Linked DNA regions of Mus musculus. The main gene of each other region encodes a partner of the protein of the gene in region 2 in a complex. Links are inferred from orthologs where the notes say so. Each region holds a gene or a part of one and is shown on either strand. Other genes may lie near its edges.

What was found.
Region 1: Tbp (region 2) and Gtf2b share a complex: the UniProt entries of both Homo sapiens proteins name them as parts of the TFIID-containing RNA polymerase II pre-initiation complex. The link is inferred for Mus musculus from reciprocal best matches to the Homo sapiens genes TBP and GTF2B.
Region 3: Tbp (region 2) and Taf1d share a complex: the UniProt entries of both Homo sapiens proteins name them as parts of the transcription factor SL1/TIF-IB complex. The link is inferred for Mus musculus from reciprocal best matches to the Homo sapiens genes TBP and TAF1D.
Region 4: Tbp (region 2) and Taf12 share a complex: the UniProt entries of both Homo sapiens proteins name them as parts of the TFIID basal transcription factor complex. The link is inferred for Mus musculus from reciprocal best matches to the Homo sapiens genes TBP and TAF12.
Region 5: Tbp (region 2) and Taf11 share a complex: the UniProt entries of both Homo sapiens proteins name them as parts of the TFIID basal transcription factor complex. The link is inferred for Mus musculus from reciprocal best matches to the Homo sapiens genes TBP and TAF11.
Region 6: Tbp (region 2) and Taf8 share a complex: the UniProt entries of both Homo sapiens proteins name them as parts of the TFIID basal transcription factor complex. The link is inferred for Mus musculus from reciprocal best matches to the Homo sapiens genes TBP and TAF8.
Region 7: Tbp (region 2) and Taf3 share a complex: the UniProt entries of both Homo sapiens proteins name them as parts of the TFIID basal transcription factor complex. The link is inferred for Mus musculus from reciprocal best matches to the Homo sapiens genes TBP and TAF3.

Annotation. Positions count from the first base shown.
Region 1 is NC_000069.6:142,763,739-142,768,176, forward strand, and holds the start of Gtf2b (transcription initiation factor IIB), read left to right. Parts: upstream 1-1,508; 5' UTR 1,509-1,533; coding exon 1,534-1,550; intron 1,551-4,438. UniProt on the Homo sapiens protein: General transcription factor that plays a role in transcription initiation by RNA polymerase II (Pol II). Involved in the pre-initiation complex (PIC) formation and Pol II recruitment at promoter DNA.
Region 2 is NC_000083.6:15,513,262-15,516,955, reverse strand, and holds part of Tbp (TATA-box-binding protein), read right to left. Parts: intron 3,427-3,694; coding exon 3,335-3,426; intron 2,727-3,334; coding exon 2,559-2,726; intron 1,341-2,558; coding exon 1,246-1,340; intron 253-1,245; coding exon 173-252; 3' UTR 1-172. UniProt on the Homo sapiens protein: The TFIID basal transcription factor complex plays a major role in the initiation of RNA polymerase II (Pol II)-dependent transcription.
Region 3 is NC_000075.6:15,304,728-15,309,182, reverse strand, and holds the start of Taf1d (TATA box-binding protein-associated factor RNA polymerase I subunit D), read right to left. Parts: upstream 2,970-4,455; 5' UTR 2,900-2,969; exon of another isoform or gene 2,735-2,899; intron 2,314-2,734; exon of another isoform or gene 2,193-2,313; intron 1,456-2,192; 5' UTR 1,430-1,455; coding exon 1,362-1,429; intron 659-1,361; coding exon 268-658; intron 1-267. UniProt on the Homo sapiens protein: Component of the transcription factor SL1/TIF-IB complex, which is involved in the assembly of the PIC (preinitiation complex) during RNA polymerase I-dependent transcription.
Region 4 is NC_000070.6:132,272,927-132,277,358, reverse strand, and holds the start of Taf12 (transcription initiation factor TFIID subunit 12), read right to left. Parts: upstream 2,985-4,432; 5' UTR 2,872-2,984; exon of another isoform or gene 2,802-2,871; intron 737-2,801; exon of another isoform or gene 575-736; intron 1-574. UniProt on the Homo sapiens protein: The TFIID basal transcription factor complex plays a major role in the initiation of RNA polymerase II (Pol II)-dependent transcription.
Region 5 is NC_000083.6:27,900,530-27,904,842, reverse strand, and holds the end of Taf11 (transcription initiation factor TFIID subunit 11), read left to right. Parts: intron 1-1,654; coding exon 1,655-1,742; intron 1,743-2,218; coding exon 2,219-2,315; intron 2,316-3,053; coding exon 3,054-3,184; 3' UTR 3,185-3,717; downstream 3,718-4,313. UniProt on the Homo sapiens protein: The TFIID basal transcription factor complex plays a major role in the initiation of RNA polymerase II (Pol II)-dependent transcription.
Region 6 is NC_000083.6:47,495,625-47,499,318, reverse strand, and holds part of Taf8 (transcription initiation factor TFIID subunit 8), read left to right. Parts: intron 1-680; coding exon 681-779; intron 780-1,078; coding exon 1,079-1,141; intron 1,142-2,616; coding exon 2,617-2,741; intron 2,742-3,694. UniProt on the Homo sapiens protein: The TFIID basal transcription factor complex plays a major role in the initiation of RNA polymerase II (Pol II)-dependent transcription.
Region 7 is NC_000068.7:9,916,708-9,919,680, forward strand, and holds part of Taf3 (transcription initiation factor TFIID subunit 3), read right to left. Parts: exon of another isoform or gene 1,503-2,973; coding exon 1,396-1,502; exon of another isoform or gene 1,278-1,395; intron 1-1,277. UniProt on the Homo sapiens protein: The TFIID basal transcription factor complex plays a major role in the initiation of RNA polymerase II (Pol II)-dependent transcription.

The DNA.
Region 1 (4,438 bases), on a different chromosome or scaffold from region 2:
GCTAAGATCAGCGAATCAAGCAAGGCGAACCAATTGCAGGAGCACTGTCCGCCGTCTGTTGGGTTATACTTATGCTCTTTCCAAACATATGTCCCCTCAAGCATCCGCCGTAGCAAAACATCACACGCCCTTTCACTAGGCAGTTTTCAGAAAAACACCCTGCGCCTGTTCTCGGCAAAACACCGTTACATAAGACAGTTTCCAGAAAAACATCACATGATACAACTGAGTCCCTAACAAAACCAGAAATTCCCACTTCAACAAATGTCTGCTTAATGGCATTTGATTTCCATTAACAAATAAAATGCTTACTGAGTTTTCATCTCAGTGGAAGACACCCAACTTGCAGTTACCTTAATTCAGACTTTGTTGGGAATGGTTTATTTACAAGAAAGTAGCACTGTTGCCTTAAGGTAAGAGGACGGGAGCTGAGACAAGGTCTTGTTCTGCAGGTCAGGCTGGCTTGGGATTCATGACCTCCCACCTCTGCACCCTAACTTCTAGAATTACAAGGGTGACCCCCAAGACCTGCCTTGTGAGGCCCTTGTATAGACGTTAGCTGTTTTATTACATTTCCTATACTCGGTTTTCAGTCAAATATTCGATGATGATTGGGGAACAACAACAACATGGGTCATAGCAGGGCTGTCTCTTGCAATTCTAGAAGGGTTTGTGAGCCAGATACCCTCCATGCCTACACTGTTGAGATAAAGGACATGTAGGAACTTTGAATCATGTTGGCCAATGACAGAGCTTGAATTGATACCTACTCCTGAAGACAACAACTAATTTCTCTTTTTATTCCAAATTCTTTAGTCAGGGCAAATGAGACATTCAATCAGATAGGGAAAACTGACTTGAAAATAAAGGAAAGGAATTTGGTGCGAGCGCTTTGCCCCTTTCAACCAACCTGGTTTCCTTGTGTGTTGGTTATTTTGTGTGTTTGTTTATTTAAAGGTGTTTTTTGTTTGAGACGAGGTCTAACTCCAGATCCTCCTACCTTCTTGGTGCAGGAATACTTGAGAGTATCACCCGAGGAGGCAACTCCCATTTTAATTTCCTCTGTTTGAGAGCTAGCTCAGGCGCAGCACATTCTGAGTCTTCTTGGGTTGATTTTTTGTTTTGATTTGTTTGAGACTGTGTGTGTCTGTGTCTGTCTGTCTGTCTGTCTCTCTCTCTTTATCTCTCTCTCCCTCCTCCTGGCTGTTCTGGAGCACCCTGTGTGGATCAGGTTCCTCTAAACTCACAGAGATCCTCCAGCCTCTGCCTCCGGAGATCAAAGGGGTGTGCTATCCCGCCAGGCTTTGAAGATTTTGCCAATCAACCAGCAGCCGGGAGCCACGCAGCAGCAGCGGAGACAACCAGGAAGTACACAGCCCGCGTCGTCAAGGACCGAGCGCTTTTTAGCCCTCCTCCCGACCCGTAGCCGCGCGGAGTGCGCGCGAGCGACTCGCGCATAAAAGCCCGGCTCGGGGCGTCTAGGAGCCAGTGCTGCTTCCTGCTTCGGACGGAGCTGTTGGCGGAGCCGCGAAGATGGCGTCGACCAGCCGGTGAGTGCAACGGCCTCGGAGCGAGTGGAGCAGGGCATCGCGGGGCCCAGGTTCCTCCAGAAGGCCGCCGCGGGTGTCCCTTACCCACCTGAGTCATCGCCGCCCGGGTTTGACCCTGCGGATCCGCACGGCCCCGGCCTCCGTCTCCGGACCCTTCAACCGTCTTTGTGTCATGTTGATGTTTTCTGTGTATTTTCTCCCTTACGGCCCATCCAGCCGGAGGGGGCTGAAACCCCGTTTCCGAAGAGCTGGAAAAGCGACGTTCCAGGTCCCTATCGATCTGACAACCGCAAAGTTGAGAAACGTCAGCATTGGTTGTCTGGTGGCAAAGGGTCGCTAGCCCAATGGCCCCCCCAGAAGTGGAAACGAAAGCACATACGGAGACTTGATTCATTCTCCTAAAAGACCCCCTGTCCCCACCCCGAAAAGTATCATTGCGTACTCTGAAGGAGATGCTGTCTGCAGAAAATTAATTACATATGCTGGAAGTCATTTTAAATGTATTTTTAAAACGTAGTTTGCTTAATATCTACAGGAAATGCGTGTTGTGACCGCAGAGACAGCCTTTAATCTTGTGACCTCCAAAATGCTTTGCAGACCCTAATTATATCTCTTGTAACCACTATGAGGTAGATATTAGTATACTGGCATATGTGTAAACTGAGTCATGCCAGCGTGTTGACCTTTCGCGGGCCACTATACCTATTCTGATTATCCGTCCACTGGTCTCCAGTTAACACAGAATGTACAGAAAGTATCAAATTAAGTTCTGTTCTTTTGGCACTTTTTTTTTTTTTTCGGAGGTGGTTACTATGTGTGGAATTGGTAAACGTCACCGGGGGAAGCCATTATTTACAGAAACTTGGCCTTTCTGGGAACCTCCAAGTCTGCTGTTTATTATAAAAAGTGGGAGGTGGGCATAGGAAGCCTCGTGAACTTCTTGCGTGGAAGCAATGGGCAATCTTGTTTACTGATTTTATGATTTAATTAGATTAATTATGATTTAATCATTCCATCTGGGTGTGGTTTTGTCACGTAAGGCTTCCTTGTAGCGACATAGGAACCTTCAGCTTCCCCAAATACTATTGAAATTTCCCATGGGTGATGTGTTCATATGTAGGCACAGCTTACCATCTTAGGGAAAAGGAACTCCTGTATTCTTGAAACACAAGTTGTAGTGTTTAAATAGTACACATAGTAAAATCACTGGTTACAGTTTTTAAACTTTTCTTCACTTAAAAAAATCCCTTGAAATTAATTTCTTTTCTGGACAGCTAGTGTTTGATTTTGAGTTAGTGGTCTCGAATCTTCTGTCTCCACCTTGAAAACTGTGGGGTTGTAGATCTGCCCGGCCCTCATCCAGCTCTTAAGTCTGTGTCATTCCTGTTGCTATCAAGTTTTGCCAGCAGTGTGAATAGAGAGAAGTTGCCTGAGAGTTTGTCATACCTTGAGGGCGGCATGTAGGCACTAAGCATTGGCACTGGTTGGTGTTCTCGAAGAGAACATGTCCAGATTGATGCCCACTCTTTATTCCGACGTCAGTAAATAACTTTTTGGCTGCGATCTGTAAAATGAAGATTGTGCCTATCTTTTAGGATGTTGTGCACATTGAGCATTCAAAATGTTTATGGGCGGGGGAGGGGGCTCCATGGTTAGGAACACTGGGTGCTTTTCCAGCACCCACATGGCAACTCATGAACTCCTAACTCAATTCCAGGGCATCTCTTCTGTCTCTGTAGGCACTAAGACATACATGCAGACAAAATGTTCATATTTAAATAATTTGGATAAATAAATAAATAATGTTTAAGGCGGTATCATTTAAATACTCTGCAAAGTTTTTCATGTTTCCCTCTTTTAAATGTTAGGGATTGAAACCAGGACTTATATATACTAGGCACGCATCTTCCACTAAGCTCCATTCTCAGCCTCTTTACCTACTTTTGTCTTTGAGGCTGTAGTGTCAGCTGCCTTGGAACTCCTATGTACAGTTATCTGCTGACAGTGATTCCCAGCCCCTCGGCCTACTATTCCATCCATCCATCCATCCATCCATCCATCCATCCATCCATCTGTTGAGACAGCCTCACTCTAGTCGATGTATAGTTCCTAGGGTAGCTTTGACTAGGTAGCATGCCTAGCTATTTCTGCTTCCTGAATACTGACATGTCCCATCACAGCTGGCTTGATAGACTTGTTAGTAGTGCCAAACTATGTTAATCCTTAACATACTGTTAGGTTAATTTCCTGCTTTGTTTATTGAGAGCCACTCTTATTTTGCTAACATTTTACTTTATTTCTGCAGCTTTTTGATTTTTATGAAATACTTTATTTTTTTAAGATTTATTTTTTTCTAACAAGTTTGCAGAACAAGTATAAAGCAGTTCCTGTCCTCTCTCATTTTTCCAATTAGAAGACTCCAGGATATGTTTTAATGAAGTAAATAAATCTGTGATTATTTAGTGAATTTTTTAAAAATCAGTTTTCCATGTGACTTAGTTGTTGGTAGTTAGGGAGAGAGACCTGTGGTGAAGGGCACTTGTTGCTTCTGCAGAAGACCTGCACCCACATGGTAACTAGTTCCAAAGTATCCCTGGGAACTAACCATTCAGGCAGTACACCTGCACACGCGCAGGGAAAACACCTATAAGACAAAAATAAATATATCCTTAAAAATAAGTCAATAAAACACAATGTGGTTGTTAAAACATTTTGAATCGTACTAGCTAGCAGGAGAAACTTGATCCAAAACCACAGAAGCATAGTTAACTATAAGAACAGTTGATTTTGTGTTTTAGGTGTGTGCTTTCCATGACTGTAATATATAACCGTTTATTGTATCGTGTAAGTGAATTTTAAAAGAACACTCACCCTTTGGAGAACTTGTA
Region 2 (3,694 bases):
GATTTCAGTGCAGAGGGGGAACCTTTCTAGTATCCTGCAGTAGGACACACAGTGTCACTTCATGCTGCCACCTGTAACTGAGTGTCCTCACCAACTGTACCATCAGTGGTACCAAAACTGACTGGTTTTAAAAAACACGTGGATAGGGAAGGCAGGAGAACATGGCAGACAACTATGTGGTCTTCCTGAATCCCTTTAAGATGGGGTAGATGTTTTCAAATGCTTCATAAATCTCTGCTCTAACTTTAGCACCTACAAAGACACATGGAACAGAAATGAGATGGTTAAGAAGTAGCATCATTACCTTAAAACATAAATACAGTTCTCTCTATACCTAGTTAAGACAAACAAATGGTGGAATCCCCTTATCACCATCCTAGCTGTACCCACTATTCTACCCCCTTTTTTTGAGACAGGGTTTCTCTATGTAGCTCTGGCTCTCCTGGAACTTGCATAGACCATGCCTCTGCCTATGAATTACTAGGATTAAGGGCCATGCCCAGCTAGCTCTCCAGCTATGTTTTTAGAACAGTATTTTCTAAGTGTTTTAAAAAGTGATACACGGGCTGGTGAGATGGCTCAGTGGGTAAGAGCACCCGACTGCTCTTCCGAAGGTCCGGAGTTCAAATCCCAGCAACCACATGGTGGCTCACAACCATCTGTAACAAGATCTGACGCCCTCTTCTGGAGTGTCTGAAGACAGCTACAGTGTACTTACATATAATAAATAAATAAATCTTTAAAAAAAAAAAAAAGTGATACACTTAGCGACTTTTAAACACCCTAGACCATCATTTCCTCACTATATAGTTGGTCTGAGATCAGGATCCACAAGTCAGCAAGACAATATCTACTTCCTACTCTAGTTCCTTCCCATACTTGGACCTGAGTGACATGGTATCTGACAAGCACTGAGGACTGAAATCTTATTCTCCCAACTGTTGGTATTCAATTGAGCTCTTCTCAGTCTTGTAATCATACTCTACTAACCCCCAAGGTGCAAGGGCCAACTGAAAACAGTCAGTGTCCCATCCCTGCCTGCTCCCACAGTCAAGCTTAATCTAGCTGACGGCTACATCAGCAGCAGGCCTCTGCAGTTCTTCTCATTCTTCTACCCTTCTCAAGAAGGTTAGAATGGTGTGCAAAACTTAAAAAGCATCCTTACACATGGCTAGACAACTGTTCTAACACAGAAAATGCCACCCCAACATCCTTTGCAGTTTCATCCACTTCCTTTCAACTTACCTGTTAATACAACTTTTCCAGAAACAAAAATAAGGAGAACAATTCTGGGTTTGATCATTCTGTAGATTAATCCAGGAAATAATTCTGGCTCATAGCTAGAAAGAAAATGGGAATACAGTTTAGAAATCACCAGTTCTTTGTGTTTCTGAATACAAGAGGCTTTGTGCCAGAAAGTCCTGAGTAAAGAATCCAGGTGTCACAAGTAGGACACACAGGAAGAAACCAGCCAGGAGCCATGAGTCATGGACATAGCCACCAACTACTAGCTACATGTCCTCCTATCACTTAATGCTATCTTCAGACTCTAGAGGTTCTGTGATAAAAACAAGAGTTGTATACACACGGTCTGAGCCTTATTTAGATGCAGTTAAAGCTAGTCTAGTTATAGCACCTTATCAAAATCTCACCATTCACTCCTAAGCTAAGAGTGGCAGTCAGCCCTGTAATCATCTCACCTTCCTGAACAGAACTCTCCTGGAGATGCCTGCTTTTCTAACAGGTGCCTTAACTAGAGTGAGAAACCAGACATGAGCTTGGCCATGAACCGACTCCCTGGTCATACCATCTATTCGAACGGACATTAGTTAACATACTCTAACACAGCGATTTCAGGTTTCTTAGTTCAGTCTACAAAAGGATCTGCCTTTCTTGTGAGTGATCCAGAGATAAACTCAGGACAGGTCTATATGAGGAAGACAACATGAGTGAATTCCTGAAACTCAAACAGGAGTTTCTATGATGAAAATTGTACCCAATATGTCAGGGTTAAAAGTGACATGTGCAGAGGCCATGGAGCAAGAGGAACCTGGTGAGTACGAGAGAACTGGTAAGCTCAGTGGTGTGGCTGCAAAGAGAAAACAGATGTTATAAGGATGTGAGTAGGGATGCTCCACCAATATTCAGGCAGAGAAAGGCAAGAAATAATACTGGGCAGTCTACCTCTGCTGCTCATCTTTACACTGTGTTGGTATGCTGACAAAAAAAGATTCAAACTAGGAGAAAAGTGATAGAAGAAACTACAAATTCATGTATTTACATCTACTTACTGACTAACAAAATGGTGAGGCATACATACAGAGGTGAGCTAAATCATTCCAGTGAGAGAGTCTGGGTGTCATGTGACTAAGGAAATAGGGATTGTAAAGACAGTGGAGAGTGCAGTAGCTCAAATGTAGCAATACCTTAACTTAACTTGCAGTTATGTCATACATGCTTAGAAACTGCACATCTTATATGTACGTCATCTGAAATGATGCCTGAGTGGGTTATAAATGGACTGTTGGAAAACTACTCCCCATACTACTTAGACCTACCTACTGAACTGCTGGTGGGTCAGCACAAGGCCTTCCAGCCTTATAGGGAACTTCACATCACAGCTCCCCACCATGTTCTGGATCTTGAAGTCTAAGAACTTAGCTGGGAAGCCCAACTTCTGCACAACTCTAGCATATTTTCTTGCTGCTAGTCTGGATTGTTCTTCACTACAGAAAGGAAAATCAGTGAGTTATATATGGAAGCCTAATAGAGTAATTTAGATGAATAACAAACAGAGTCTAAATTAGGAAAGTAATTAAACTATCTCCGTGTCCTCAACAGAAACCATAAACCTACCAAAACATAAGCCTTCTATGTGGCACATTACTGTCAAGCCCTCAGATTTAAAGGACTCGATGTAGTGTGTGGTTCAATTAGCATGGCCACCGTCATCACCTCATTATGACCTATAAATCTCTACTGAAATGAAAACTTCATCTTTATAAAAAAAATTAGTAAAATGTATTATTGGGAAATACAAATTCTATCTTCCTTTACATCAAATCTCTATCCATTTTTAGGACACCACTATTGGATAAAGCTATGATTTTCCAACTCAAGAGTTTTCATTTGAATATCAGAATGCGAATGGCAGTGCTACAACCAGAGCCCAGGAGATCAGGAGTAACAGTGTGGGGCACCAAAGCTATGCAGAGTAATCAGAGCAAACCATTCAAAAATAACATGAAAAGTGCTAGCCTGATAACAGAAGGACGCTAGAGCCTTTTTTCTTTCATAATACACCCACTAGAAACAAAGCATTCCTTAAGGATACCTCTTGGCTCCTGTGCACACCATTTTTCCAGAACTGAAAATCAACGCAGTTGTCCGTGGCTCTCTTATTCTCATGATGACTGCAGCAAATCGCTAAAATGGTCAGAAAGAGGCATTAAAAAGGTGTGAACGAAAGGGTAAAAAGAAAAGCTGTCTTCATGATGACTGAGGAAACAGAGCTGTGGTGCTGTAGGTCCCAGGTCAGACTATCTTTGCTACATCAGATATTCTTACCAATGAACTTAAAAAGTATCACTTAAAGTGGTTTTTTAAAAATTCTTTTTCTTACATTTATCTACTTTTTTGCATTTCTTTATAAATTTCTAAAATTTATTTTTAGAAGACTTGATCTTTTTTCTAC
Region 3 (4,455 bases), on a different chromosome or scaffold from region 2:
TGTGCTTCAGAATAGTCTAGAGATAATATAAGGGACCTCAAGGGACCCAGCTGGAGTACAACTCCATAAATCTGTGTGCACACTGATAAATATGCTTGTGCACATTTCTCTAGTGATGCAAGAGATGAAAATTGGAGCACTTTATATGGATGTCACTATTGTTAAAAGTAACAATCTGTTTCAGGTGTCCCTCAAACAATTAAGAATGGCCAACAAACCATTCAATCTTACCTAATGTATTCACCTACATTTAAAAAAAAAACTCACCTCATATGTTAAAATTTTCTTCCAAGGTAAAGGTTTTCTTCCACTCTCAGATTCTAAGAATGGAAACACAGCTCCTTTGTCTTTAATTTGTTTTGCATCTATTTGCGACCTTCTAGTGATCCTCGTTCCCGATGGTTTTCCTCTTGGTCTTCCTCTTGGTCTTAATTTTGGCTCATATTTTCTCTTTTTCCTCTTTTTCCGTTTCTTTTTTTTAAATCTTTCAAAAATAGCCTTTAAAGTCAGAGGCCTTGGTTCTATAGAAGAGTCACTTGATGAATCTGTTTCAACACTTGCAGGTAAAGTAACACGTTTCACAGTAGGGTGTCTTTGCTTTTGTATAGGTGAAGGAGCACACTGAGTTTTAAATAAGCTGCCATCAGAGGAGTCATCACTAAAACAAAAATGAAACTGCATCAGTTATCATTAGCTATAATCCTCCCCGAGTTTCAAGGCCATGCTCCCAATCATGCATTCCTTCAGTTCACAGCTCCAACAGCCTTTACTGCCCTTAGAACACCAGACAAAAGCATGACAAACCTAAAAACCATGTTAAAATTTCAAAGTGCATTTCTTCAAAGATCAACCCCCTAAAATCATACCCAGCATTTTAGAATAGATTCAGTACCAGTTAACCACTAGTACTTACTATTATATCTAAAACAAGACAGTTGGTTAAAATGTTCAGTTTTAACTTTCAAAAGCACCACTTAATCACTAAAGCTTCCACTATCTACCTACTAAACAAAAATGGGCCAATAAAACCAGAACTAGCCCCCCAAATGTAGTTTTCTTGGAAAAAATAAACTATGTTCCATTCCTACATGTTCAGGTTGGTAGAATTATACAGTTTTAATCAAACTGTCAAGCTAATATAAATGCTAATTGAGGTTCTCTCTATCTATTTTAAGTACAAGCATTACAAATAACTTGCTGGAGTGCAGGGTGTGGTAACATGCCTTTAATCCCAACTCTTGAGAGGTAGATGGGCAGGATTACCTGGGTGAGGGCAGCCATGGCTCTATCTACTGAGATGTCTCAAAAATAAATTGAACATTTGGACTGAATCTCTAGTTTACCCACAAAAGCTACCTTACCTTTGGTCTCCAGTATCTCCAGCTCTATCCGATGCCACACAGACAGAATTCACTTCTGATTGAGCCATCACTTTTCGCGGCCTTTCCCAATTTTCTGCAATCACAGATTTCAATGATGTACCAGCAGTCTAAGTTCAGCATACTCCTTCCCACTGTGTGAATTTCTGTAAAATCCCTATGGATAGTACATTTTATATCTACTTTAAAGCCTCTGAGTGGGCTTGTTTCCAGTATCCACATCGGGTTGCTCACAATCTCCTGTTAACTCCAGCTCCCTGTTAGTGATCTTTTGTCTTCCAGAGTACCCTCACACATATGGCATAGTTTTCTTTAAATATGTGAGTGAAAACAAGAAGCCACATTCCAATGCAGTTTGTTTTCTCACTAAATCTACCCCCAAAACCCGACATGGCTTTAACCACCACCTAGCCTCACAGTAGCATTTCTAATTCCAATCTGGGCTGCGAACTCGACACTGAAACAGAGTTCGGGTAGTTGGGATATGGCGATAGTGGCTCAAAAATCACTACTGATCAAATGGTCACAGGCCTGTAATCCTAACAACGTGTAAAAGAACCTTTAGATTATGGCTGAGACGATAGCCTAGCAGTTAAGTATACTGTCAATGGCCGGGCGTGGTGGCGCACGCCTTTAATCCCAGCACTCGGGAGGCAGAGGCAGGATTTCTGAGTTCGAGGCCAGCCTGGTCTAAAAAGTGAGTTCCTGGACAGCCAGGGCTATAAAGAGAAACCCTGTCTCGAAACCTCCCCCCCCAAAAAAGAAATGAATAGAATACTGTCAATGGACTAAGATGAGACTCCCAGAACTCACATGCCAGCCTAAAAATAGCTGTAAGCAGTCCTAAGAGATTCGATGTCCTCTTCTGGGCTCTGTGAGCACTGCGTGCACGTGGTGTAGAAATATTAGGCAGGCAAAACGGCCATATGTACTAAAGGAGAAAAGACTACAGTTTTCCTAGGCTACACAAAATCCTAGAACTAAAAATAATCACAACTTTCGAGGATAAGAAAAACAGGGTGACTACGACCTTAGATTGCAAAATGCCCGCTACATGAATTGCTTTTTTAAATTAACCCACCAAAACTGAAATTTAAGGTTGACCCGGTCGCCCCAACGATATGCCTGTGAGTAAATCAAAGATAATTCCTAGGAATCACTCCCACCTGTACGCTACTTTACAGTTCCGAGACTACAAGCTTTGGAGGCCACGTGGTGAGCTGCGTCGACTATGCGCCGTGGGCCCGCTGCAAGACCCTTTCGGAACGTAACCTAAGAGATGTGCGCAGGCAGCACGCGACCCCTTACACGGCACTAAAAACGCCCTCCAGGCCCAGAACACCTCGGCCTCTCCCAACAGCGACCCGGAGCCTCGTGCGGCCTGCGGATGGCGGGATTCCGGCCCGCTGCTCTGGCCCTACAAGAGCGCCGTTTCCGCGCGGACCGCAGCCCAAAGAACCCCGCCCTGCGGCCCCGTCGCCCGCAGCAGACCTGAGCGGCCACAGTGAACAACCGCTTACCTCTTCCGCCGCGTCGAAAAGAGCGCTCCCGGCGCCCAGCAGCCGGACTAGGACAAGGACGAAATCTCGCGTGAGTACACGTTGGTGGGCGTGGCTGTGCGTGTGGTGGGCGGGCCTCCGGGAGGGGCGGTACCCCGGCTCTCCCTTGGCCTAGAGCTATCAGAAAAGACTGGCAGGAGACTAAACCTGTGTTCGAACCTGAGTGGAAAGAAGGCCTTCCTGCAAGTGGGAGGACACTGCGGGCCAGGTGAGCGTCGATTTGTTGTGGTGACTGAGCCCGCAGTGTGCCAAGCTCTCTGTCAGACTAAGGGTGGCATGTGTTATGGATTTCTGTACTGTCCCTGTGTCCTCACTTGCCTCCTACTTTTTTTTTTTTTTTTTTTTGGTTTTCGAGACAGGGCTTCTCTGTGTAGCCCTGGCTGTCCTGGAAGGCACTTTGTAGACCCGGCTGGCCTCGAACTCAGAAATCCACCTGCCTCTGCCTCCCGAGTGCTGGGATTAAAGGCGTGCGCCACCACGCCCGGCACCTTCTACTTTTTGACCCCTGCACACACTGTCCAACAGTCTGTGGAATCCTGCAGCATTGACTCTGGCTTTGCACCCATGCAGGTCCACTAGGACTAAGTTGTAAGGGAACATTACAAACACCTTATTGAGTGCGTGACAAGATCTGTGGTGAGAGGGCAGATATTACTATCCCTTGAGTTCTCATAGACAAACACATTTCAAATGTAAAGTTGTTGGCCTAGAGATATAACTGGATTATAGAGAGCTTGCCTAGTGTACATGGCACCACGGAGAAAAAAAAATAAAAACAAAAAAAGCAAACAAAGACCTGTGTGTGTGGTTAGATCAGTATGAATATAGGGTCCTATGTGACTGAATGAACTATTTGCAAAGCTGTAAAGCCAGCCTTGTGCTTGAACCCTACTAGTCTAGTATATCGTAAAAGTGTGGTATATCATAAGTACCTAATAATTAGCAATATATTGTGTGCAATATATTTGGAAGAGAGAAGTCCCCTCTAGGTGGAAGATGGGCACTTCTCCTGGTGCTGCAGGATTATTCTGAAGTCTTCCTGGTGTCAGCCAAAGGGGCCATTTCTTCACTGCTGATTCAGCTTAGGGTGGGGTGCATTCTGGATTTACAGACCTGCCTTTGAGTTTGTTGTTGTTGCTGCTGTTGTTTGACACATGTCTCTTTATGTAGCCCTGACGATCCTGGAACTTGATTTGTAAACCAGGCTGGCTTTAACCTCACAGAGAACCTCTTGCCTTTACAGCCCTCTGCCTCCAGTGCTGGAGCTAAACATGTGCACCACCATGCCTGGCTTGAACCTGCTTTTGAATCCTGTTTCTGCCATGTAACAACTGAATGATCTTGAATAAATTTTGTTTCCTTTTCTGTACAGTAAGAAGTACAATATGTCTGTCATGGATTTGAGAATTTTGAGGGACTTTAAAGGGCCTGACAATTTCTGAATACAGGATGGCCTTAATCATGACACTCAGCATGATTGTCACCGTTAGCCTGTTGCTTTCCGTGTCGTTTCTCCC
Region 4 (4,432 bases), on a different chromosome or scaffold from region 2:
CCCAGTTCTAGGGGGACTCAATGCCCTTTTCAGGACTCTAAATCAAGCACCGATGTACACAGACACATAGTGAGGCAAAACATTCATACACATAAAAAATAAGGAGGCAGAGGCAGGAGGGTCTCTGTGAATTTGAGGCCAGCAGAATTGGTCTGCAGAGTTCCAAGGCAGTCAGGACTACACGGAGAGACCCTGACTCAATGCCCCTTCCCGATAAGAAATGAATAAACAAACAAACAAATCTTTAAAAATGGTACCAGAGGCTTTGGCTTCAAAAATCCCCCCTTTGCTTTGTGGATGGTTTTTCTCTGTGTGCTGGCTGTTCGGGTCTCATCACCTTTAGTAAAACCTTAAAAAAAATAATAGAGCAGCTAAGCTCCTGGGAAAATAATAGCTTCAAGTATGTTAAAAAAAAAAAAAAAAAACAACCTTTTCTTTATTCAGTGTGTCTGTGCTGATGTGGTCAGAGGATAATTTTGGGAGTTGGTTCTCTCCTTCCACCATGCAGGACTCAGGGACTGAACTCAAATCATCACTCCTTGTGGCAATCACCTTACCAGGAGAACCACCTCACCTGATCTGCTCTTCTTCTGTTTCTCCTTGAGATAAAGTTTTATGTTGACATTGAACTCCTGATCGTCCAGCCTCCACCTCCAATGTAATGGAATTATAGCCCGAGCATTCACAACATCGAGTATATGCTAGCAATTAACTGCAAAGTTAATCTGATGTCGCCCTAATTAAAAAATAAATAAATAAAAATAACCTACTCTATTATGGGAAAGATTCTACCTGGAATATTTATGCTTCTGTGAAAACACAGGAATTCAGATGTCAAATACTATGGAAGTATCTTAAAAGTTACAGTCCTTGACTTGAAAAGGAGTTAAGAAGCTGGTTTTGGTGATGTAGCCTTGAATCACCAGCGCTCTGAAGTCAGAGGCAGGTGCATCTCTGAGTTTGAGGCCAGCCTGGTCTACACAGCAATTTCCAGGCTAGGGGGAGCTAAGTAGTTTGGGGAGGAGGGGTGTGCTTTCATTCAGTGGAAGGATTTATAAATATTACTTATATTTCATTCACATGCATACTACACATGGCAGGAAATCCACTTAGAAAAGCTCAAGAAAGCTTTGGAGGCACATTTGCAGATAAGCTACTCAGTACTTTATGACAAACCCCTTAACCTCTCTGGACAGACAACAGGACTAACCATACTTAACTGTGGGGCTGTGATAAGGAAGGGGTGGAATACTTAAAAGTGTTTAAGTTGTTCATGGTGGAGGTGCACACCTTTAAACCGAACGCTCCGAGGCAGAGGCAGGTGGACTTGACTTTGAAGCCAGCCTGGTCTACACAGTGAGTTCCAGGACAGCCAGGGCTACACAGAAAACCCTGTCTTGAAAACAAACAAACAAACAAACAAACAAACCAAAAGAAAACAGAACAAAAAGCCCAAAGTGCTTAAGTTGTGCACGATTCATCTGAGTAGGTTTCAGTCCTGGGTCTTTATGAAGGGAAATGACAGGGTCCAAGTCACTCTTCTAAAAGCAATCCCTAGAAAATGTTCTAGGCCACATTTACTTGTGAATTTCTCAACATCTTATTGAAAAATAAAATTTATAAATAAATAAAATAAATAAAAGACTTTTCACTTAAAAGTTTGTTTCCTCCCTTGTAACATTTATGCCAATGCCATACATAATAGGTACTAAAATATTAAAATCCGTTAGAAAAAAATCCCTTCTGAGTTTGAGGGTAGAGATTCTAAAAGCATTTATTCAAATAATTTCAAGCAAGCATCTCTTCTTCGATGTACATGGTAGAGTACTGTATAACCTAAGAATCTGGCTCACAGTGATCCTAATCCCTCTTTGCATCCTCTTTTTCTTAAATGTAAAAGAATTCAAAGTGTTCTTTTGCTGCCCTTCCATCTATGACAGTTTGCTAGTGATATAGAGATCTGTGCTCAACGGGGGCTGAATGGAACAGGGCTTAAGGTACTTATCAAGTATATAACTGAGTTCAAACTGCTTTCAGCTTCACATCTGATTCACAATAATGAAGAAAAACGAAGACGTTTCATGTGGCTTTTCTAGGTTAAGTAACGGACACAAGAAAAAGCCTAAATGCCAAAAGCCAAATAGGCAGCGCCAAGAAGTCTTCCCCCGAATATATATATCCTAATCCTCCGGGTACAGAGAACAGATCGCTAAACCTTTTCAACTTTTCTCCCTTGAAGGCTGATCTCCCAGCCGTTAAGGACCCCCTAGTTCCTTCACTTTTAGGAGCTCGGGTCCTTACATCTCTGTCCCTCCAGAAACTCTTGAGTCTGAAAGCCCGGATCTTGTCCCCAAAGAAGACCCAGTCCTCACTGCCCGCTTCGATTCCCTTTCAAATTCAAGTCTTCTCTGCCTCCTTCTCTAGCTCCAGTCCTCAAGTCTTTGCTGCCCGGTTTCTGAATCCTTAGGAGCTGGGACTTTACTGTCCCGCTTCTGTCTCTTAGGAGCCCGAGTCCTCTCGGGCTCCACTTTTACCTCTCTGGAGCCTGTGTCTTCACGCCCCGTTTCGTTCCTACCCTCGCCTCCTATAAAGTGCGGGATCCTCACCATCCTGTCCCTCTCAGAAGGCTTTCCCTCAGATGCTGCAGAATCCACATCCGTCCCCGTTTCCTAAGTCTCTCATTCAGAGCTCGAGTCCCCAACAGCCGCTGCTTCTGCGAGCCCGAACCCCTCAAGTCCCGTCCCAAGAGCCTGGGCTCCTCAGCCCCGTCTCTTCCACAGCCTAGTTCTTCCAGCACTGACCCGCTGTGGGTCTGGGTCCTGACACCCTCCTCCCGCTCTTCGTCCTCAACTGCCAGGGCCCAAGACTCACAGGCAGCAGCGTCTATCTCCCCATGATATGCGGAGACTGCCCCAGTGAAGCTTTCGTCTCAGCAGCCGGTCCGACTGCGCGGCCCTCCCCAAGCACTTCCGGCACCGCTCCCCGCCTCCAACCCGGAAACGCGCGGCTCTTCCGGCCGCCGGGCGCGCGCCTCACTAGCGCAGGCGCAGATGGTACTACAACACGTGGTAGGACTGTGAGCCCAGCGCCTGGCTTGGCAGGTCGGGCTTTCTGCTCTGTGTGGCTTGCTGGTGGCGTGGGTCTACTCTGCGTCCCCTACCACGGCGTGAATCCCTGTCCTAGATGTTTCTTTACGACTCATCTCTTTCACGAGCGTGACCGGTAACCGACGGCCTCGGAGAGCTTCCAAGTCGCCATTTTTGGTTGGTGCCTTTGTGGTGCTATAAGGATGGGACCGCAGTTCTGCATAGATACCAACTATGGGACTCTCAACCAGCACGAGAACTTGGAGACTAGAGAAGCTGATTGTGCCTATTAGTTAATCTGTAGTCAACATACACTTGGACGAGAGCTGTCTGTGAGGGACTGGTTCAGTCCCTCACTTGGAGTATGTCATGTAATAGTGGAAGAAACGTGAAATTCCTAAGGGATGTAGGTTCTCAACTTGAATTGAAAATTCTTACTCCAAAGCCCGGGCTGGTACAGTAACTGTTAAACCACTAAGCCCTGAGATTTGAGTACTTTTTTTTTTTTTTTTTTTGCTAGGCATGTAAGCAACAGGCAGTTTCAGTCCCCGGCAAGGATTCTTAGTAAAATAGAGATCTCGCAAACGAGTGTATAGAAGTCTGACATCTCAGAGCTATCAACGGTTCCTGCCCATAAAGAATCCATTCTATCTTTGTATCTTCATCCCATTAGGCTCATCCACCCTCTTGGTCCAAAATCCTGGATGCAAGGGCTTAACCATTAAGTGGCAAACTGTTTATAACCTTATTTTTCTTTTTGGATTTATTTTATGCGGAAAAGTGTTTTGTCTGCATTTATATATGTACACCATGTGCATTCCTGGTGCACAAAGAGGTCAGAAGAGGGTATCTGAAGCCTTGCAATTGAAGTTACAGATAGTTGTGAGCCACCATGTGACTGCTGGCATTGACCCAGGCCCTCTGCAAGACTGCCAGGTTCGAGAGAAAGCCACCTCTCAAGCCCCAGCTTTATTTTTCTATCATGGTTCTCAGAGTTTGGCCAATCAGTTTTTGTGCTTGCATCCTTGGATGTACTAAACTGTTTTTTTGTTTTTGTTTTTGTTTTTTGCTGTGTGCTGGGTATATCCTGTTGGGGAAGTCAGTCATCATTGTCCTTAAGAGTTTACAGGCGCTAGGCAGTGCTAGCTCATGCCTTTAATCCCAGCACTTGGGAGGCATGGGCAAGATTTCTGAGTTTGAGGCCAGCCTGGTCTACAGAGTGAGTTCCAGGACAGCCAGGGCTACACAGAGAAACCCTGTCTCAAAAAAACAAGCAAACAAAAAAAAAGACTAGATGAGCAGTAAGGCTGAAGTTTGGTTAGGGGACAGGAAGGGACAGGTGGAAA
Region 5 (4,313 bases), about 12 Mb from region 2:
ATTTGGTCATTGTTTTTCCTTTTCAGTAAATATAGGCTCATTGCAAATAACTCAGAATACAAACAAAACAAAACAAACCTCAAAATCCAGCTAGTAGCGCTTATCCCAAGAGTGTCTATCTGGGAATATTTGTGCAATGTCCTCATGGACATCAGTGTCTCCCGCTGCACTGATCTCACCTATGTGTGAGTCACACCATCAGTCCCTGCACTTACTCTGGCTAGGATTTTTTTTTTTTTTTTTTTTTTTTTATTTTTTTTGGTTTTTCAAGACAGGGTTTCTCTGTATAGCCCTGGCTCTTCTGGAACTCACTTTGTAGACCAAGCTGGCCTCGAACTCAGAAATCCGCCTGCCTCTGCCTCCCAAGTGCTGGGATTAAAGGCGTGCGCCACCACGCCCGGCTTGGCTAGGATTTTTTAAATTTTGTTTCTTTTAACAACATCGTGTTCCATCTCTGGGAACATCTCTACATCTTACCCATTTCTTTCTATGATAAAATACCTGTATAAACACACTGGTATAAATGTTTTCAAAGATGTCTCAACATATTTCTAGACTTAGAAAACTGTGATTTTGTTTAATTGATCATTTCAAGTTCATTGGTAATAATTAAGGTTTTGAGTTGTTTTGTTTGTTTCGTTTGTTTTTTCTCCATCTTGATTAGCCATTGATATTTTTGTGAATTTCCTATTAAGTGATGGTTCATCTTCTAAAACTGGCTCAGCCATCTTTTTATTTATTTAAAAGAGTTAACTATAAAGAATAAAGGGGGTTAGAGAAACTGCTCTGAGGCTAAGAGCTATCAGCGCTAACAGGACCAGTAAGACCCAGCACTCATGTCAAGCTGCTTACAAATGCCTATAACTCTAGGTCCAAGGGATCTGGCTCGGCCTCTGGTTTCCATGGACACCTGCACAAACATGCACAGACACAAACAGACAGACTTACATTGAGACGTTTGTTTGTTTGTTTAAAGAAACACAGGGCTAGTGATTGGCCCATGAGGTAAGGGCATGTGCCATCAAGCTTGACACCTGAGTTCAATCCCCAGGACCGCGTGATGGAGAGAGCTGGCTTCCTCAAGTAGTCTTTCACCACGGATGCCCCTACATGTACACCCAGCACACAAGCATAGTAAGCAGACTCAATAATTTAAAATGCAAGCATTAGGGCTGACGCTGGAGCTCAGTCTGTAGACTGCAAAGCATTCAGGAACCAGATGTGCTGGCACATCTGGGGTCCCACACTCTGGAAGGTAGAGCCAGGAAAATCAGAAGTATAAGGTTATCCTTGATTTCCCTGTAAACTTAATGCTGAAGAACCCTGATTTGAACATAAATTTCTCTAGTAGATGTTTACTGTCAGTGTGAAATCCAGCCGACATAGAGTCGGATGTTATCTCCTCACATTGCTGTCTCTTAGAACAAGCAAAGGGCATACACCACCATAGCCAGCTGCTTCTGTCTAATGAAATTATGTTTCCTTTTTCTCTTTCCAAAGTTCCTTAGGGGTGGGAACCTTGCCCTTCCTCAAGAGCACAAAGCCTTAAGCTAGAGACCCTTTGAAACAGTGTTTGTCTGCCGCTTGTGTTTGTTGACTTAATGAAGTAGTCATCCTCATTAACCATCTTAATTACTCAAATTTTTTTGTCTAGAATCCTGGTCTCTTCTTTTTCTGAGGAGCAGCTGAACCGTTATGAAATGTATCGCAGGTCAGCTTTCCCCAAGGCGGCCATTAAAAGGGTAAGATTGTGCGTGCGTGCGTGCGTGCGTGTGTGTGTGTGTGTGTGTGTGTCAGTCACTACAGTGCAACAGCTGTGTCCATCAGCTCTGAAGTGAGGCGTGTGTGAGATTGCTTAGGAGGGAGAAAGAACCACCTCTCACCATCTGGCCAACTCCAGCAAGTCAGTGCCTATGAACCTTTGGCGGGTTTGGAATTGTTTTGCTGTTTTTTATTGCTGTGTCTGCGAGTAAATGAATACATGTATGTGTGTGCCCGTGAGAGTCAGAAGAGGGCATCAGATCCCCAACCAGATTAGAGGTCGTTGTGAGCTACCCACTGTAGGTGCTGGGAACTGAACTCTAGGCCTCTCGAAGGGCACTCTTAACACTGCGACATCACTGTAGCCCAGGTCATTTGGCTCTTGGCCGTCATTTACTGCCACTGCATTCCAGGCCAGCCCTGACCATACTAACACCAGCTTCTTCTTTTTTCCAAGCTGATCCAGTCCATCACTGGCACCTCTGTGTCTCAGAATGTTGTGATTGCCATGTCTGGCATTTCTAAGGTTTTTGTCGGGGAGGTGGTAGAAGAAGGTGAGTAGTGTCGGTCACAGCCTGTACTGCTCTCACAGGGATCGCATTCCCAAGAGTACCTCCACCGAGGCATGTAAGGGATGTGGGAGTTTCCAGCTGCTCGCTTTTCAGGTGGAGCCTATAGGGAGCCTCATCTTAAGGAGAGCATGGCTGTTTTTATTACTGGGTGCGTGGAGCTGGGGGGAGGGGATGAGGCCATCTAGGAAATCCCTCTCCATAGCCCAGGGCGAAGAAGACAGCTCGGTACTTTTCATCAGCAGACCTCACTTCAAAAGCAATGCCTTGATAGCAGCGCCCTGCTGAGAGCTCTCCCTGTCAGGGAGAAAGCTTGCTGCTTCTCATGGCTAATTTCTAGCTTGTGGTATAGTACAGTCCCTGTGGGATAAAGCCAAAGCCAGTTAGAAATACTTTATAACTTCCTTTTTTATGTCTTTCTGTATTGGTGAGGTAGGGAGAGGGTTGGTGCTTTTTGGGACAGGATTTCTCTGTGTAGCCCTGGCTGGCAGTTTTAGAACTTGTACTGTATACAGGCTGTTCTCAAACTCACAAGAGATCCACCTCTCTCTCCTCCCAAGTGCTAGGATTAAAGGCGTGCACCACCACACCCGGCTTATAGTGTTCTCTTAAGGAAAAACACTTGGCTTGTTTCTTTAGCAAATCTCACAAAAGACAGAATTACATCCTGAGTCGTGACTAGTGAATCTCATGTGATGATACTGTTTCCTTTCCCCACCCCAGCCCTGGACGTGTGTGAGAAATGGGGAGAAACGCCACCCCTGCAGCCCAAGCACATGAGGGAGGCCGTCCGGAGGTTGAAGTCCAAGGGGCAAATCCCCAACTCAAAGCACAAGAAGATCACCTTCTTCTAAATCTAAGGGAGACTGTTCCAGACTTCTCAGAGTCGGGCTTCTGTCCTGGGGCTTTGGTGGTGGTGAGCTCGGGACGCAGGATGCCGATTTTAATGTTTCGGTCACACCTACAAGGCATGCAGTGTGACTCAGACTTGCCTTCACTCAGTCATGGACTGTCCTCAGGCATGTTGAAGACTTTTACTGACTCTTGGCTAGTTTGAAGAAAAAATATACAGGGGCCTTTAGTATCTTCTGGAGAAGGAGATGGTTTCAGAGAAAAACAGAACAACTCTAGTGGCTTCATATTGAAACCTAAAGTTGCTAAGATTCAGGTTGTTTCTTGCTCTGGTTTTCAAAACATAAACTTGCGATTATCTGCGGTGAAGTCACCGTGACACGCTTCTCACCATTAACATTTCAGGTTCTCCTATGGATTTTGTGAGGGATCATTAAACTTTTCCAACCTGTGTGGGAAAGTTTATTTTATTTTGTTGCAGACAAAACTCATTGTTCTTCCTATGTTGAAATAAAACTTGGCTTTTGTTTTTCAAGACAGGGTTTCTCTGTGTTGCCCTGGCTGTCCTGGGACTCCTTCTATAGACCAGACTGGACTCGAACTCATAGATCTGCCTGCCTTTACCTTCCCAAGTGCTGGGATGAAAGGCATGTGCCACTACCACCCACCTTGGTATTTGGTTTGGGGACGTCTTTTTCCTTTCTTTAACTCAGGGGTCTCACTATGTAGCCCTGGCTGTGATGGAACTGATTGTGTAGACCAGGCAGGCCTCAACCTCACAGCACCACTATGCCTGGTGCTTTACATGTAGAAAAAAAATCTGTTTTTGAGACCGTCTCATTATATAGCCTTGGCTGGTCTAGTACTCACAATGTTAACTAGGCTGGCCTTGAACTTGGGAGCCTGCCTGGGGCTCTCAAGCTGCTCGGTGACCATCACACCTGGCCCCTTTCCCAGCAGCCACAAGAACCTTGAGCTTGGACCTGGAGAGAATGCTCAGCAGTTTAAGAGTAGAGGATTCAGCCGGGCGTGGTGGCGCATGCCTTTAATCCCAGCACTCGGGAGGCAGAGGCAGGCGAATTTCTGAGTTCGAGGCCAGCCTGGTCTACAGAGTGAGTTCCAGGACAGCCA
Region 6 (3,694 bases), about 32 Mb from region 2:
GCTGGACTTGACCTCATACTAACGTGGGCAATCTGTCTAATCCTCTGGCTCCTTGTCCTCTAGCTCGTTCTGTCTTCACCTGTGTCTAGCTTGTTCTCTGTATAACTGTCCCACGAAAACGACCTCCCTTCCTCTTTCTCTGCACTACCCCTGAAGTAGCTTCCCTTTCCTCTCTCTCCTCATGAGGGTTGGGCAGATCCTATTTTGTCAAACCTTTCTCTGATTCATCACTTTGTCTGCCACTCAATTAGAACATGGGTGCTTCCTTCTACAAACTAACTTTATCTTCATTGTTTGGGATTAAAGGTGTGTGCTAGGGCTAAGCCACACCACAACTAGAAACAGGTTTTTCTAGTAAACACCACAATCTCAAGGTTCACAGTATGAACAAATATCCTGCAACAGAATCTGTGCTGCTGTGTGTGAATGCACACAAGTGCCTGTTTGAGCCCTGCCTTTGGTCACTTGGGCATATAAATAAATAAATAAGTGTATATATATATATATATATATATATATATATATATATATATGTACATACACACACACATACACACACACACACACATATATATATATATATATATATATATATATATATATATATATAGCATAACTGGTGGCCCACCTGGTAATCTTATTTTGAACTTTGGAGAAACTCTGGCCTTTGATCCTTGTAGACATCTCAGAAATCGGGAGAAGTGCTAAGTCATACTGTGAGCACACAGCCAGGACCCAGCCCACACTGTCGGACATCGTGGTCACATTGGTTGAAATGGGTAAGTGTATCTCCGTTGTAGGATCACCAGAGAACGGGGAAGCCTGGGGGGGTTTCCATGTCTGCTGAGTCTTAATTCCATCCTATTTCCCCTGATCTGCTTTTAGTTAGAAAGGTATGAGGAAGGAGTCCTTGGACCCTGTCTCAGAGACCTCCCAAGTCCCTGTGGGAGTTCTCTTGAGAGGCAGAAGAGTGGCTAAGCTGGGATTTAAGTCCCCATTCCACACTGATAGCTCCCCTTTCCTGTTCAGTATCACGCCAGGATCAGAACATGGCAATGACTAGTTTTCTTGTCCCTAGGCTTCAATGTTGACACTCTACCTGCCTATGCAAAACGGTCTCAGAGGATGGTCATCACTGCACGTAAGTGGCTTTGAACTCTGATACTTAGTACGTACTCAGTGATTGTAGTGTGCCTTGGAGGGAGGAGAGGGCAGGCACCAGAGAGGCAGCTGTTTTCCTGCTGTGGGCTCCCTCCCTCCCAGTCCTTGGAGTGGTGAGCTGCTCACAGACTGGCTGTGTCCATGCAGTGGGATTAAACTGTGAAGGTCAGTCTCCAGGCAGCTGCACCATGTCTGAGCTGCTGCTGTTACATTTTAGCCCCGAAGAGCAAATGACCATACAAAAAACTGTGACAGTTCTTGCTTCTCTAGATGAGGGTTTGCAAGGGCTGGGGTCTGTGGACAAAGTGTGCTTGCTTTTGTTAGTAACAGTTTCTTGGCATACAGCTTATTTACTCACCGTATGTGATTGCTTTCACGTGGCAAAGGCAGAGGTTTTCGGTTTGCTTAATCTGAACTGTTGCTATTTCGTGGATGCGCCTGTAATCCTAGTACTTGTGAGGAGGTGGGGGTGCTCTAGAATTCTAGTGTACTGTAGATAGGGAGGGCTACGCTAGCCTGAGCTACACAGGTGGACTTGGGCTCAAAAAAGAAGCAAACAAAAATCTAAAATACTTATCATGTATCCTTTTATATAAAAAGATTTATTTAGTCTGCTTTAGATAAAAGTGGGTCCCTGCCGGGCGTGGTAGTGCACGCCTTTAATCCCAGCACTTGGGAGGCAGAAGCAGGCGAATTTCTGAGTTTGAGGCCAGCCTGGTCTACAGAGTGAGTTCCAGGACAGCCAGGACTACAGAGAAACCCTGTCTCAAAAAAAAAAAACAAAAAAAAGGGGCTGGTGAGATGGCTCAGTGGGTAAAAGCACCCGACTGCTCTTCCGAAGGTCAGGAGTTCAAATCCCAGCAACCACATGGTGGCTCTCACAGCCATCCGTAACGAGATCTGACTCCCTCTTCTGGAGTGTCTGAGGACAGCTACAGTGTACTTACATATAATAAATAAATAAATAAATCTTAAACCCCCCCCCCCCAAAAAAGTGGGTCCCTTATGCTAAGTAGGGAGTAACTGCTTTAGTGTTAGGACTTGAGGGGGAAACTTGTTTATGTTTGGTTTGGTACAGGTACAGGATTTCTTTCTGTAGCCTTCGCTGTCCTGGAACTCACTCTGTAGACCAGGCTGGCCTCGAACTGAGGGATCTGCTCGCCACTGTGTCCTGAGTGCTGGGGATAGAGGCGTGCAGCACAACCTCCTGGCTGTACTCGTATCTGTACGTGTGTGCATGCTCATGCCGCGGCATGTGGGTGGAGGTGAGGACAACGTTGAGGACAACGTTGTGGAGTTGCCTGTCTCCCTCCACCATGTGCCTCTTAGAGAGTGGCTTGGTGACAAGCCCGTTTCCCCACTGAGCCATCCCCACAGCCGCAGAGAGAAGCAGCTTGTCACAGATTGAAATATCAAGCAGGGTTGGAGACATTAACTAGTTGCGATCTGTTGCAGCTCCAGTGACCAATCAGCCAGTGACCCCCAAGGCCCTCACTGCAGGGCAGAACCGGCCCCACCCGCCACACATCCCCAGCCATTTTCCTGAGTTTCCGGATCCCCACACCTACATCAAAACTCCGGTGAGTTTGGGAGCTGCCCAGGGCCTGTGCGTGTGTGAAACATGACTGATGGAGGTTGCAGGGGAGAGTAACCTTCAGCTCCCTGAGGACTTTCCTACGGGGATGCCATCTTGATATGCAATTACCCCTTTCATCATAGCCCTTGGAAGGCTGAGGCTGAAGAGTTGCTGTGCATTTGAGGCCAGCCTGAAGTACAGAGTGAGATGTTGTCTCACAAAGAGAGACAGAAGGGGAGGAAGCACAGAGTAAAGCAACCTGGCCAGGAAGAGTTAGGGTTTATTTGAGAGGTTTTATGTGTGTGAGGGTTTCATCTGTGTGTGTGTCGTTGGATCACCTAGAATTGGATGTGGGTGCTGGGAATTGAGCCCAGGTCCTCTGAAAGAATGGCCAGTGCCATTTTAAAGTTATTTATTTTATGTTGGTGAGTACACTGTAGCTTCTTTTTTTTTTTTTTTTTAAGATTTGTTTTTTAAAGATTTATTTATTTATTTATTTATTATATGTAATTATATGTCCTCAGACACTCCAGAAGAGGGAGTCAGATCTCCTTACGGATGGTTGTGAGCCACTATGTGGTTGCTGGGATTTGAACTCAGGACCTTCAGAAGATCAGCTGGGGCTCTTACACACTGAGCCATCTCACCAGCCCAAAAGATTTATTTATTACATTATTTATTATATATTATTTATTTATTATTATTATATGCAAGTACACTGTAGCTGTCTTCAGACACACCAGAAGAGGGTGTCAGATCTCATTACGAATGGTTGTGAGCCACCATGTTGTTGCTGAGATTTGAACTCAGGACCTTTGGAAGAGCAGTCAGTGCTCTTACCTGCTGAGCCATCTCCCCAGCCCCCCACTGTAGCTTCTTTACACAACAGGAAAGGGCATCGTATCCCATTACAGATGGTTGTGAGCCACCATGTGGCTGCTGGGAATCGAACTGGGG
Region 7 (2,973 bases), on a different chromosome or scaffold from region 2:
TTTATAATTTTCTTTTTCTGAGGCAGGGTCTGCAAGCTGTATGCTTCCTAAAAAAAGTAAGTTTAAAGTTTTTGTTTTGTTATGTGTGTTCTGTGTTATTTTGCCTGCGCATCATTTTGTGTACCTGGTGCTGCCTGAGAACAGAAGAGCATGTCTGACTCCTGTCAATGGAGCTGCAGCCCATTGTGAACTCCCCTGGGGTGCGGGACTTCCCTGCTCGGGAGGAGCAGGCAGTGTTCTTCAGCTCTTGTGCCATGTTTTCAAAGGGGTCATTTCTTCCTGGTACAGTCAAGGCTGACCGTGACCTCCTGGTCTTCCTGCCTCTACCTCCTGAGCTGGGATGTGTGAACCCTCGCAGTCAGCTTCTGCAGCTGTGGGGATGGACCCTAAGGCTCCTCCTGCACGCTAAGGAACCACTCTACCAACTGAGTTAAACCAATCCCTTCTTTGTTTGATGCTTTAAAATGATTTTTTTAAGACATGGTGATACGGCTCAACAGATAAAGACACTGGCCACGATGCCTGACAACATAGTCTTCTGAGCCACATGATGGGCTTAGAAGTGGAGAACTGGCTCCTTTCAGTGGTTCTCTGACCTTCACATGCATGGGCTAAAATGATGTGCAAACCAATACAGCATGCTCCACTCCCACAATAGAAATAAGCACAAAAAATGATGTATGTACCAAAAATTCACCCAAAGGTTCTTTGCACTAATGTTGGTTATTTAGGCTATATTATATAATGCCTTCTGTATCGCGAGATCATATAGATTATTTGTACTTTCCATCAGGAATAGTATAATGCAAATGGCTTTGCTTTTACGTTTTAATTTGGGAGTAGAGGCTGAGGGTGGGAAAGAGTCTAAGATAGCCCAGGTTGACCTCAAACTCACTATGTAGCCAAGGCTGGTCTCAAACTTGTGATTCTCAGCATTAGAGTGCTGAAGTTAGCAGCAGCCCAGCTCACCCGGCTCGGGTCTATCGTAGACAGCACACATCAGATCCAAAGAGGCAGCTTAGGAATGAAACGCAGCTGAACACATTTTGGCTGAGCATCTTTGCAAGCTTCAGAAGCAAACCTGCTGTCTGAGTCTCTTCTCAAGCCCACACAGACACGTGTTGTAGCTCTCCCTCCCAATGCCAGTGACAGGGAGGAGGGGGACCCTACACCCTTACGTATTTTTATAAGAGAGGATATATATCTGAAGCCGAGCATCCACGGGCCAGGCTCTGGAACAACAGCACAGCTAACTCTTCAGTCACTTTACTCTGCAGGCTCCATTAGACTGTCGTCAAGAGAGGAGCTGAGTCCGTCTAAGATGCTAGCTGGGGAGGACACCTGCTCCAGCTCGACCTGCGTTGCTGTCTGACACTCGGGGGTGGGGGCACTCACCAGTGGTACCAATCGTCACAGTCGTCACAGCCAATCATCGGGCTCCCGTCATCAGGCTTGTTGCACCCTGGACAGATCCAGATCTGATTGCCCCACTCATCACGGATCTGGTGGTAAAGTGCAGAGCAGAAACAGATGGTGTGGGGGGAAAGAAGCAGGTAAGAATGCTGCTTTATACTGGCCACAGTAAACCAACAAGCTAGGTGCATGCATTAGCACTGTTGTACGCGACCATCAGTCGCCTCTGCTCTGGATCCATAAAGAGGAGAACACCTGGTCATTCAGGAACAGCGTCCTCCTCCTCCTCTTCCCTCACACACTCCCTCCTCTCACTCTCTCCTAGCTCTCTCCCTCTCAGTTTCCCCTACTCTTACACTCTCCCTCACACACCCCGCTCCGATTTGTTGTTATTGTTGTTGTTGAGGCAGATCTCATGAGCTCAGGCAGGCTTGGCTTGGCAGTCACTATATAGTCCAGGCTGGTTTTGAACTGCAATCTTTGCCTCTACTTCCTGAGAACTGGGATTTCTGGTGTGTGCTGCCATGCCTGGATAGAAGGACACATTTCTAATGCACATTCTAAACTGCTTTATAAATCACTAAAAGCAAAGCATCACAGAGTCATCTCTGGGAACCGTGGAACACAACCTGAGTCGGCTTCACCTAAGAATCCTATAAGCTCACAAACCCCCAATGATTATGGGGTGTCGGGCAGAAGCAAGTGAGAGTTAGAAAGCCCTCAGCTTTCTGTATCCCCTCAGCCACGGTCTAGCACAGACAGTCAAGTGTGCATGCGCGCCGTCATTACTCATTAGCCAGGCCCTGCTCCTGAGCTAGGTGATAAGATCAAGGATGGAAAAGAGCTGTTACTGAGTAACTTTCCATTCCCTTTATGACATTTTAGAAAAGCACAATCAACTAAAGGGCGGAGGAAAGAAGAGGCTCATGGGGCCAACGAACTAAATGATTATTATGCTCCAAATGCTGTGTGTTCTGGAAGTTCTGACTTCGTTCTCAACAGGGAGCGCTCCTAACTGGACAGCTTTCTCAAATGTCACATTATCAGAACTGCATGGACACTGGAAAGGAGCGCCGAGTCACGCTTCCTTTTAAATGTCCTCACAGTAAGACAGCATATGACTTCACTACAGATTTTGCAAGGTGTCCTCGTCCTATGCCTTTAGCACTGCACTGACTCGATATGTGAACGACCAGGGTTTCTTTGTGAGGGCTTACCAAGACTGGGCATGTTCTGCTGTATGCATGGACTTGCTCAAAAGTTACTATTTCAAAAATCTCTATAAAGCAATCCACCTTGACCTGAAACTGTTCTAGAGGAATGTGGAGAAAGCTGTCTCTGACTGCCAGCTCTAACTTGGGGGACACTGCACCATGGGGAAAGAACCAGCAGCGTCCCCCAAGTGGGGGTGTCCAGTGGGTGAAGCCACCATGCATGGCTGGTCCTGCTGCTGGCTGACCTTACTTGACATTAGCAGACTTGTGACTCTGAGATACATTAAAAAAATTGCTATAGCACCACAGTAGGACCCAATATTTTCCAGGGTACTGAGTTCTTTTA